Drosophila melanogaster: one gene and its partner. The protein of the gene in region 1 purifies or fractionates together with the protein of each later gene. This does not show direct contact. Each region holds a gene or a part of one and is shown in the gene's direction. Other genes may lie near its edges.

Evidence for each region.
Region 2: the proteins of DIP-eta (region 1) and dpr7 purify together in Drosophila melanogaster (affinity purification with western blotting; 2 studies listed by BioGRID). This does not show direct contact.

Annotation. Positions count from the first base shown.
Region 1 is NT_033779.5:5,614,926-5,619,747, reverse strand, and holds the start of DIP-eta (Dpr-interacting protein eta), read left to right. Parts: upstream 1-1,801; 5' UTR 1,802-2,093; intron 2,094-4,086; exon of another isoform or gene 4,087-4,518; intron 4,519-4,822.
Region 2 is NC_004353.4:247,330-255,095, reverse strand, and holds the start of dpr7 (defective proboscis extension response 7), read left to right. Parts: upstream 1-1,766; 5' UTR 1,767-1,895; exon of another isoform or gene 1,896-2,082; 5' UTR 2,083-2,142; coding exon 2,143-2,272; intron 2,273-2,384; exon of another isoform or gene 2,385-2,385; coding exon of another isoform or gene 2,386-2,437; intron 2,438-2,925; coding exon 2,926-3,041; intron 3,042-3,570; coding exon 3,571-3,781; intron 3,782-4,852; coding exon 4,853-4,906; intron 4,907-4,959; coding exon 4,960-5,062; intron 5,063-5,118; coding exon 5,119-5,306; intron 5,307-5,360; coding exon 5,361-5,497; 3' UTR 5,498-5,539; intron 5,540-7,766.

The DNA of each region.
Region 1 (4,822 bases):
CGTTGAACATAACGTAATATTTCATTAAAGTGTATTTGTTCTTGAATAATTCTAATATGTAATCTCTTTGATTTTAATTTAAAATAATCAACTTTCTTTCTTCGAGTGTAGAGCTAACCCTTTTGGTAAAAATGATTTGTGGCTCCAGTGCATTGGCACGCAATGAAAAGTTTTCGATGGAGAAATGGAGCGGGATAGATAGTTCCTTCCAGGGACGCTTTATAAATCCTTTTTATACGTCATAAAATCTGTTATTGGTGGGTTTCTACTGTTTCCATCGCTATTATTTATTGGTCGTGTGCGTGTGTTGTGCGAAATTATATGCCTGTTATAAAGACGCGATAGGGAAAGGGGGCGGGAGTTGATTAGCTCCCGAAATATATATATATATATATAAGTATATATGAGCAATTTAGAGTTGCAGAGGGCGGTGGCCAGGTCAAAACGGTGCCTGACACAATGTGGCACGGTTATTGAAAAGCGACTGGCTGGTGTGCGTGTGTGGGTGGGTGACTTTCCTGCCTCGCTTGTTGCACTTGCCACACATAATGGAAATCTCCAAAGAAAAGTTTCACCAAGCAGAAGAAATTTAATTAAATAATGTATCATAGCGAACGGACTTTGAAGCATTTTTGAATCGATCGCAGTCAATTTTTAGTTGCATATTTCAAAGTATTGGGGGCACTAATATATTTAATAACAATCAAAACTGACTCGGAACGATGCAGGCGAATTTTATTAAATAATATTTCATGCTGAACGACTTTGTTATATCGTTTTATATAAATAAGACGGCCTAGTAAAGCACTAATTTAATTTTAAAAATTTTATTTCAATTCTTAGTTGGAAAGAACTTTGTTTCTGCATATATACTACAAATTATATCGTTAGAAAATTTTTGTTTGAGAATTTCAAACAGATTTCAGTTAGATGTAAGATTGGCCTTAGTTACGTCTTTAAATTTATGGAAACTATTTCTTGCGAACCATTGAAACATTGTTTTTTATCAATACATACTTAAATTTAAAGCATAATTTTCTGATAATGATTGATTTATATTAAATGAATCCCGTAAAAGAGATCCAAAATAGAAGACAGCGAAAGATCATCTTGCAGATGGCTTCCATTCCATTTTCTTCTACCTACAAGTCAAAATATATAGTATTTTCCTATGGCAATAATCTGTTGTACTTATTGCAGTTGTCAGAATTGCAAGTGATAATTCCCTCTCTCATATTCAAGCGCCACGACCAATGACAATTCATTTCTTCATCTCACACAGTTACTTACTATCAGCACCCCCTCTCACCATCACCATCCCTTCACCCAACCCAAAAAGGGTTAACCCTTTCCTTTGCCACAGATTTCATTCATAAATGCGAGCCACCAGTTTCACGCGCCCAAAAGTATGGCGAGAGAATTTCCCAGGCTTTCAATGCCATTCAATTCGTATTCAACCGAGCCGAGAGCGCGCCCCCCATTGGGCAGCACACGCACACACACACGCGCAGAGCATGTTAGGAAAAAAGAAGCACCACGAAGTGAAAAGCGCCCGCCAACAAAAAGCAAAATAAAATGTGGCCCAGCAACAACAAAAATCACAGTTGTCTGATTCGTTCGCGAGGCCGCTGCCCACCCCCCGGGCGCCCACTAAAAAACACCACCCACCCACTGGGGCGCCCACACTCCCCCCAAAACCCCCCAAAACGACGACGATTCGCCAAAGGAGCATCTTCGGCATCGCTCGGCAGTCGCTGGGAGTCGTTCCACGCGACTTTGGTGGCCCTCGGAAATGCTGGCTTCAGTACATCGACGGCGCTCGGTTCGTGCGGTTGGCCTTTAGTCCTTCGAATCCTGCTGCATACAAGCAAGCAGAATCCCTAACGGAATCGCGTGTGTTTTTTGCCGCCAAGTGTTGCATTCGTGCTGCAAGTGAATCGAAGTGATGCTGTAGACGCCATGAGTGACTTGTGCTGAGCGAATTTCTCGACAGGATTTAAAAAAAAAAAAATCAGGACAGCTCAGCCGCAGGACATGTGCAATTTGGAGTTTCACGAAAAATACAAGATTGCCAAGAAAATGCTCTGAAAAAGGTTGTTATGCTGCAGCTATTAAGTTAAATGCGAACTTCCATTAAAATCTGCATGCAAGACTATTGAAAGAAAGCAAGGAATCCTTTTTCTAATCGCTGGCTGTGATTGCGGCCAGTGAAGGCATTCGAAAATAGTTTGGCAGCGATTTCGGCCAGGTCAAATCGACAACAAGTAGAATTCGCTCGCGTGTTGAGTCGCGCGCGTTTTTAGCCGCTTGTTGGCAATTTAGCCGCGATTTTGGCGACATTTGCCGTCAGCTGCGTGTTTGCTGTAATTATATTTAAAGTAAAAACAAAGCCCGAGTTATTTATGAAGCAACAACAATCGGGCCACCCTCGGCGGTCAATGCTCGTCACATGATTTGCCATTCCAGCTGCATGCGTGTCTGTGTGTGTGTGTGTGTGTATCGTGAAATTTGCCTACAAATGTGAATGTGTCTGGCGCGCCACTCGACGCTGTTTATTACGAGTGTCCCCGTATGGCAGGAGTGCACTGTTTAGGCCACATGGGCAACAATTGCATATTTTATGTTTCACGGCTGCCCGAGTGTAATTTAAAGTTCATTGATATCCATAAAGCGCAGGACAAACCCTCGACGCTTCATGCCAATTTGCTGTCTAGCTGGCTAGCCATTTGTTGCAAATATGTTGCAGCGCTTTTGGGACGAACCGGAAATAATATGTGTACAGTGTACACTGTACAACCCACATTCGGTGGTTTTCCCCCGGGGTGGCATGATGGTGCCTGTTTTCGATTTATGGCGTTTCTCTATCATTTGCATTTTACATATAATTTCTGATCAGTTGTTATCTGCTCGATTGTGATTTCAGTTGGCGCCCACAGCCGAATGTGCACTGTCTACTGACGCTCCAGGTGGGGCCGAGTGGTATACATATATGTATATTATGGAAATTAAAACATGTTGACTCAAGATTGAAAACCCTGTTGTTCTGCTGCGAAATCGTAATCCCCTTAATCCGAATTCCCCCGCCTGCTCCGGTATCAATTGCATAAGAAGAATTCCAATTGCCCCCGGAGCGATAACGAAATGGTTGGCAAGGCCTCGTCGTTCAGTCGGCTTGACATAATGGCCGGCATGTGAGGAGTTGGATTTTTCCTGCCATTGTTGTTGCTGTTGTTAATAACAAGCGATAATAATCAACTTCCGTGCTGGAAAGCGAGCGGAGGAGAAAATTGTGAAAAACCGAGCGAAACTCTGATTTCTAGAAGGCGCTGCCAGCCTGAACACTATGAGTTATGCAAATTTTATGCAAGGTCCGGTTAACTGGGCTGCCCTTTTCTGGGCCGGATTAAAAAAAATTTAAAAAGCTAGACGGCGAATAATTCTGAAAAATGTCGAAGTGGCATCGCGATAGAGCGGGATATTTATCACGTGTTAATTAATGTTTGCGCTGGAAATTGAATTTAAAGTATAGCTCGAGAAGTCTGGTAGTAGTAGCGAATGACATTTCAGTTGAAGCTTCTACATGTCAGCATTATTGTTTTAAAGGGAAAAATGCAAAAGGTGCTTCAAGCAAACTGTCGGGGGGGTTACTGAAAATTTGCCATAATTCAGCAGCTGATTATACACATTGAAGCGTTGGAGAAAAAGGGACCGTGCATGTCCGAAACCATAAAAATAATATATGGCTTGAACACTACAAAGGTGCCATGAGCACCTCTTATTATTTGTCATAAATATTTTCTTTTTTTGCTTTTTCATAAGTTGTACTTAAAGCTGGTAACAAAATAAGTACAGGAAAAGGATTTAGAAACATCCAAATTGAAATAAATTACACATTTGCTTGGAAAATTGCTTGTGGTCAATTTAGGCATTCATCACATTGCTCGATTGAATTTTCGCTTTGTTTAAATACTTTCCATTATTTATTACAAAATATTTTCAATTTTATATAATTACAGAAGAATGTGAAACACAATATATATTATATATGCTTGAATGAATGAAGATATTTTGTCAGTGTAGGCTGTTGTGCCAATTTAGAAAAGCAAAACTTTTAACTCGTGATAATTAATAAACATCAGTGATCTACATCGCCATCAATATCCAATGGCACCAAACATCCAAGAGCTGCCCACCAGAAGCGGGAAGGTACTTTCGACACAATCGCCTCGATATGGCTTCGGATTGTGGTCAGGCCGTGGGCCTGAAGCCTGAAGCCATCACCTGTCCCTGACTCCGAGTCCGACTCCTGACGTGGCCCGCATGCTCTAAATTATTAATAATATTGCCAGGCCCATTTGCTAGACATTTTTAGTGCCTACCGCCGTTCCAGGCCAACCGCCACCCCCTCCCTGTAACCATTTGCAGTGCTGTCGTTTGCCTGTTGTCTTTTGTAGTCTACTTTTCTGGGCATGCAATGCGGATTTAAATGTGTGAGTGTATGGGTGTGTGTGTGTATGTGTGTATGACAAAGGACACATAGCACACATGCCGGCAACTTTGCTTTCAATTCCGCTAAATTATGAAAAAATCAATACGAACTCGAAGGGAGGGGACAAGGAATTTTAATGAAATGTCAGTTTAAAATGGTTCCTGTCAGTTTGCGGCCGCCAGAAAGTAGACTTTTATTTTTCCAAAACCCGAAATCGTTTGCATGTTCAGGCTCATGGCCGAGTCAGCTGGAAAGTTAATCAAGGTTCCCCAATCATAAGGGCGGACTTTCGAACATATTGATATCTGCGTCTGGCAGCAGGCACCCTTCTAT
Region 2 (7,766 bases), on another chromosome or scaffold:
ATTATTTATTTGTTATTTAATTTTTATATGTCATATTATTGATACTATTTATTTTCTATTTAGACACTGTTAAACCTCGAAAAATAGCACAAAATGCCTGGCGAGATAGCGTGTACATAATAAGAGAACATTATTTTCAGAAAAAAAAACATAAAAATATTTCGAAGTTCACGAGATATTATTTTTGAATGTATTTATGGTACAAGAGCATCCCGCTTGTGATCGACTAATGTGCATACATATACACGTTCTGAAAACAAACTCTTTACTTTTCTTACTTTTTAAGTTTATATTTACAAACAAGATTTGTACAAAAACATATGTATACAATTTCATAATACCTTGTTATCCCAATTGTCGTGCTTATACCGGACAAACCTAAATTCAATTGGAATTTGTATTTTCGTTTGCAATTAATGTACTGTTATTTAAGAATAATACTACTATTGCGGTAGAGCTGATGAGACATTACATTAGGTTCATGTAAATACCTTGACCTGAAATGGTGTTGCCTTCTATAAGGAAAACAAATTATACACTTTTGCAGATGTTTAGTCCGAAGCGAATAATTGGCCTTATGTATGTGTCATGCTCTGTGCAAGCTGCTAGTTGAAAAGTTATAGTTCTATCTGTGTGAAGCTACATTTTGAATTTAAGAATTGATTTTCAAAAGGAAACACCTAGATGTTAACAAGGACGGTGACAGTTTTTAAGGGAGCGAAACTGAACTTTATGTGAACTAAACTAACTTACACTAATTTTCAAACAAGTCAACTTAAAACTAAAACAAGAGAGAATGCTATAGTCGAGTTCCCCGACTATCAGATACCTGTTACTCAGCTAGTGTAAATGCAAACGCGGAATTTTATCATTTTTCTGAGATATCGATAGATATTGGGGAATAAAATGACAAAAAAATTAATAATAGTTAATACTATTTAATAATAATAGTAGAGTGGGCGTGACCGGTTTGGGGCTTTAGGGCGGGGCTAAAAGTTTTTTGGCAAATCGATAGAAATGTACAAGAATAATAAAATATTGGAACAACATCCAACAATTTTTTTAAAATATGGGCTGTATGTTAAATCTCTACCTTCTTGGTTTTATGGTTCCTGAGATTTCGGCGTTCATACGGATAAGGCTAGATCGACTCGGTTTTTGATCCTGATCAAGAATAAAAATGTATATAATATAATAATATCATATAATTTATGTAGCCGGAAACGCTTCCTTCTGCCTGTTACATACTTTGTAACGATTTTAGTATACCCTTTTACTCTACGAGTAACGGGTAACGTTTCCTTTTCTATATCATTTAAATTTACGAGTAACTGGTATAATAACTTATGCATTTTTTTAGGATAAATTCACAATGTATGCTTACATTACCATTACCGTTTTTGAGAATGTAACTGTCAGTAGTAACAAATTTGTTCGAAATTTAAGGGGTAAAGGTGCTATTGTCACGTTTATCTGATCTCAGTCTCAAATTGATGTGTACCATTTGTATTCCGCCCATTGCTTATATTATTAAGCCGTGTTACTGAGTCTTAGCAATAAAAGGAAACTAGAGTACTTAGTATATGACTTCAAAATGTTAAAATTAAAAAATATATACATACAAATAATTATAACCTACGCAATCTATAAATATATAGAATCTATCCTAAATTGTAAGATAACACATATGTACATATGTGACAATGGGCATGCGCGAATATTTTCAGGGTTGCAGAATATTAAAAATCTGTATACAAGTCGTCCTCACAGAAACACTAAAACGTGCTGCTTAGGGGTTGTTAGAGCTTACCGTTGAAATAATAATTGTCGATGCCAACGAAATAAGTGTAAAGACTAAAAAAAGTATATAAAAATTGAAGCCAGCAAGTATAATTGTATGTATATTAAAAACACAGATCTAAATACCGAAAAACAGAATATTATTTGAAAGTCCATTAAAAGGATAAAAAATCGATGCCGATACAAAGTTGTTCTCAATAAAAATCTTGCGCCAATACGTGCTCTCGCGTGTGCTTAATATCTAACTTAATTATATACTTAACATTTATTATAACTACATAGGTATATGGAATTCTACTCTAAATAATGCATATCTGTGAAAGACAAATGAATTAAAGCAACATGTCGCGTGGCAAACATGCCACATTCTTGAATAATTCGCCAATTAAAATCAAACCATTCATTATTTTAGTCTTGAATTTAAATATATGGTGTCAATACATTAGTGCAACTTCATATTTAAGCCTGAACGGTAAGATACATTTTAAATTAAAAGTTTCCCACTAGAATGATAAATATATTTTTACCCTTGCGGGATTTTTTTTTTAATTTTGGTTGGACCCATTTTCTTCTGCAACGTGTAGAATGAAAACATATAATGCATTCCTGAATACGAAGACAAAAATTATACATGTATGTACGTATTGTACTTAACAATATTCAATTGTGAAATTATACGCAAAAGTATTATGTTTAAAAAGCCATTGTATTTAAATTATGCTAAATTTAAATCTAAAAAATAATCTTAATATTGCATTTTGCCCATAGTATTTTTACCACCTGAAAGCTTGCTTTGCAAAACATCCTTCGAGAGGAGCTTCGGTTTCTAAAAGATGACAACAGTTTCATGTCTCGCCCCAAGCTCTTTCACCAACAAGTGTAACCACTCTTTATGATCGACCTATCGCAAAAGATTTCGCGCATGTATATATAGTTGTCGCAAGCTCTTAGTCTTGACCGACACTTCCGTCCATAAAAAGATCGAAACTTTAAATTAAAATGTTTAGCTTCTAGATAAGGGGCATATAAAATTATTTTTAGTTTATACCTGCAAGGGTATATACGCTTCGGCTTGAATAATTTAGCATCCGTTTTCGTTTAACATAAAATACAAATTCATTTTAGACCTAACCAATTTGGAGCGACCTTTCTTTGATGATATTAGCCCAAGAAATGTGTCGGCCGTAGTCGACGAAATCGCAATATTAAGATGTCGGGTTAAAAATAAAGGAAATCGCACGGTAAGTCATTATGGGTTCTTTCTTTTATTCTTACACATAGGATTATATCGAAACATTTTTATTCGTTTGAAGAGCACATTCGGTCACATGGTAAAAAGTACGACTGTACGAATTAGTGACGGAAAATTGTTTGAGGGGGAAGTAACCTTAAATTTCAAACTAAACTTGGGGACACACCAGGAAAACGTTTTATTTTTTAAAGGCAGTTTTCTCCCAAGGATTGCTAGCTTGCGCTGTCTTTTCGCTAGCCCTTTTCAACTCTCCTCCCAAATCTACGTGGGAACTTGCCTCCATTTCCATCGATCAAGCTTGTTTCGAGGCCTGTTCTCAATTTGAAAATGTGAAAAATTCTTTTAAGTCTCATGTTTCTCTAGCAAGCTTGCCTATATCTAAACAAATAGGATTAGGAATAAATGATTACATTTTGAAATAGTGAAAGGGTTATCAGATAGCGGAGGACTTAACTTTCCCTTGTCCTAAAATTGCGTATCTATTTAATATTTCTTATAAATACTTTTAATTATTTCAGGTATCATGGATGCGTAAGCGGGATCTTCACATTCTTACAACGAACATTTATACTTACACCGGCGATCAACGATTTTCTGTAATACATCCACCAGGCAGTGAAGATTGGGACTTAAAAATTGATTATGCACAGCCAAGAGACAGTGGCGTATATGAGTGTCAAGTGAATACCGAGCCTAAAATAAATTTAGCAATTTGTTTGCAAGTAATAGGTATATATATAAACATTTATTAACAAACAAAAAAAAAAAAAACAAAATAATAACTGTGGAACTCGAGTACTGTATATACAAAACTAAATTTTGTCGTTGAGCGACCATAACAAATAATACAGAAATCAAGAGGCAGAAATCAACAAGTCTTGGCAATTAAAAATTTTAAATCTGAACACAAATTAGTAAAGTAATGAGTCTAGAGTATTGGGCAATAAATAGCTGGAAATGCATATTCAAATGCTATCTATACTGTTTAAACCTATTTTATCTAAATTCAACAGGTTAAAGACTGCAGCAAAAGGAACCTTTTGACTCTTTTGATAATTTTACAAAAAATTCCCCGACTTTTGATATTAAACACATTTTCGAAAATTCGCGATTTTAAGTTAGAAAGCAACAAAATCAGTCAATTTTCACAGTTGACATGCGTTCAGCTTTTTTAACAACTAACTAACTAAATATTGAGAATTGATCTACATTTTCTTGATAAAGAACTTGATAAAGAAAGTTGAGCTTTCCTACTTAAGAACCGACCAAAAACTTTACCCGCACGGTACATGAAAGTCGAGGAGTTTTTATAATCATTACTTTTAATGTAATAGACAGAAGGAAGCGTTTCCAACTATATTCAGGATAAATACCCGAGTATGTCCTTCCGTCCGTATGAACGTCGAGATCTAAGGAACTATAAAAGCTAGAAGTTTGAGATTAGCATACAGATTCTACAGACATACTGCCAGGCCCACTCTAACTCCCACAAATCAGTTGGTTTGCTAATTTCTACCGATATGCCGAAAACATTTTACCTACGCCCACTTTGAACCATAAAACACGCCCAAATCTATCCCGCCCACACCTTAGGGAATTAAAATTAACTTTTTTCCCAAGTTCAATCGATATTCTTGAAAGATGTTAAAAATTCTCGGACCGACTTGGGTCTCATTCTCTGGTTTTTGTTTGATTCAGGTTTTAATTTCACCTGGAAGAGTTCATAAATATGCTTACCCCCAGAAAATGTTGTATTAATTTAATTACTCATACTAAATTTACTTTTGTATAAAATTTTAGCTGACAACGACTTTCAAGACCTTAAAACTAAGAAGCGGTTTTACGACACAAAGTGTAAGGCCTTTTATAGCTTGCTTAAAATTAAAATTATCTGTGATATTTTAAAGCGGCTCGAGCAAAAATTCTTGGATCTACGGAAATTCATGTAAAACGGGATAGCACTATTGCCCTGGCTTGCTCTGTTAATATACATGCACCATCTGTGATTTGGTAAGAAACCATGATCTTTGTAAGAGATTTTAACAACTTATTTTACTATATCAAAGGTATCATGGCTCATCAGTTGTTGACTTCGATTCACTTCGCGGTGGAATAAGTTTAGAAACGGAAAAAACTGATGTAGGAACAACGAGTCGATTGATGCTAACGCGAGCTTCATTAAGGGATTCTGGAAACTATACATGCGTTCCAAATGGAGCCATTCCAGCTTCTGTTAGGGTTCACGTATTAACTGGTAAACATAAAATTATTTCAATTTAATATGTTTTTAAATATTTCATTGGTACAGGTGAGCAGCCTGCAGCAATGCAAACAAGTTCTGCCATTCGGATTAGGGCTTTCACTGCAATGATAACTATCATATCAACAAAAGTGTTGTTATATATTTCAAGTCTTATGGAGCATATGTATCTAAGAGAAAGATGACTACCAATATAATTTCCATTATAATATATAAATAACATTAAGGTAAGATAATAGATTTTTATCAACCCTATATAGTACGAATAAACTCTAGTTTCGCGTTTTGCCAGCTGTTCTTTGCTTACAAGAAAGGAATAGTTTCCTTCGTATTTTCAACCACGCGTTGACACGCCTACTCTAACCGCCCAAAACTGCCACACCCACACTTTTGCAAAATTTTTTGATATTTTTTTTCATTAGTCTTGTAAATTTTTATTGAGTTGCCAAACATTTTTTTTCCATGGCCACTAAAAGTTCACTGATTTCTGGCTCGAGTCCAAGGTTCAGCGCGGTACCGTTAGTTCACGGCATCCGCTTTACCAGGGTTTAAGATCCACTATTTCCTGTTAGAGCTGACTTTAACCTTCGCCTTCTTCGCTGGTGCTCCCCGGATTTGTGGGGAGTTTTAAGACTCCTCACAATACATATCTATGATACGAAGACAAGGAGCTCTAACTTCAAGGGTTTAGACGACATGCAATATAAGATGTAGCTGTTTATCAGGCGGAACCGGAACATCGTTTCTTACTTGTCGATAAACTGGTTTGCAAGCTGAGAATAATTAAATTAAATGTATTAAGATTCAATCCCCGAACCTAATCAACTCCAATGTGAGGTTCTCTTATCCCTGTATAAATACAATGTTAATAATTAAGCCTTCAAAAAGTCTATTAGCTTTCAAAGCGAACGTTCGTGTTTTTTTTTTTGCGACCCGATTTTTATTTCGTGTTTGTCCAACCAGCCGTGGTTTTTAATAATCTTTTTTAATTATCAAATATTTTAAACATAATTATTAAAGATCCGTTCGCTTCGCGAGTGATTCTTTTGTGATTTGTGCAGTTTGACCCCAACCTGTGATTGCTTAAAATTCCGAATTGCCTGCACTGGTTTCTTAACCAGTGATTCCACCTGTCCCGATTAGTTTACCACCACAACGGAACATTGAGTCCGGACTAACGGCACAAGTTGGCACTTCAGAAATACAATCTGCAGGACCAAAACCCCTCGCGGTGGTTCCACTAAATAAACAAATTTTCGTTTCTCGGCTTTCCCGTGATGAAACATTGTCTGATGTATTGTCTTATATACAAGACAAAACAAAAGCCGATAATATAAAAGTGGAAAAGTGTAACTTCTCTTACGCTAGGGACAGATCAAAGGCACTAAAATTTTCGGCCCGAAATCGTCTTCTAGAACAACACGCACACATATACGCGTTCTCGTCTCTTGTTTTTACTTGCACAAGCAAGCAAGTTCTATTTTAAGATTTCTTACGCTCTCGGCGTAAGCTAGCGGACAGAGAGCAATTTTGGCCGTCACCAAAAAAGTGGCGGCTGCATAGTGCCAAACCAATGTATGGCCGTTACGCATCTTGTCATTGTAGTGTCTTTGGTATGACCGTCCCTCCAGACGGGGAGGTGGAGTCTTAATTGCGGTTAGATCTATCCTCTCGTCAGAAGAGTTACTTTTGGGCGATTCCCGTAACTCGGAATTCTTATGTGTAAAGCTGTAATTTTCCGACAGTTCAGTTTATATTACGTGCTCGTATATTCCGCCATCTTCTGAATTCCCAGAATATAAGAATCATCTGTCCGATATCCAGTCCATCTTGAATAAACTGTCTGACAGGGACCAATTGGTAGTTCTAGGTGATTTTAATATACCTGGCACAACGGGGTCCCCAGAAGAAAAATCGAATATCCTTCTCCCTTTAGCACAACATGACTTTATTGACGGCTTGCTCGACTTATCTTTGTCGCTAGTTAATTATATTCCAAACTCTCTTGGTCGACTGTTGGATCTATGTTTTGTAACAAGTCCTGAAAGTGTGTTTCTGTCCAGGGTAGACCCTCTTACTCAACCTCAAGATCCATATCCTACTTTCGAGGTGGCAATCGACATAGGTAAGGTATAAGTAAATTCAGAGAAGTCAACCAAGCGAATTCACTGTTTTCGCAAGGCAAATTTTCGTAGGCTAAACAATTTTATAGCTGGCTTTAATTGGTCCGATCTTTACTCCTGCAACATAATGGCGGATACGATTAATATGTTTTATATCGCAAATAAATCATTCAGAACACTCTTGTGTTCCTTTAATAATATAGTTTTTATAGTTAAGAAAGTTTTTAATGTGCTACAGCTTAATGATCTTTAAGAATAAGGTTCGAGTTCCTCCGATATATTGCAAGCCGCCCCTATACAAGACAACATCCAAGACATTAAAGTTTAAAGT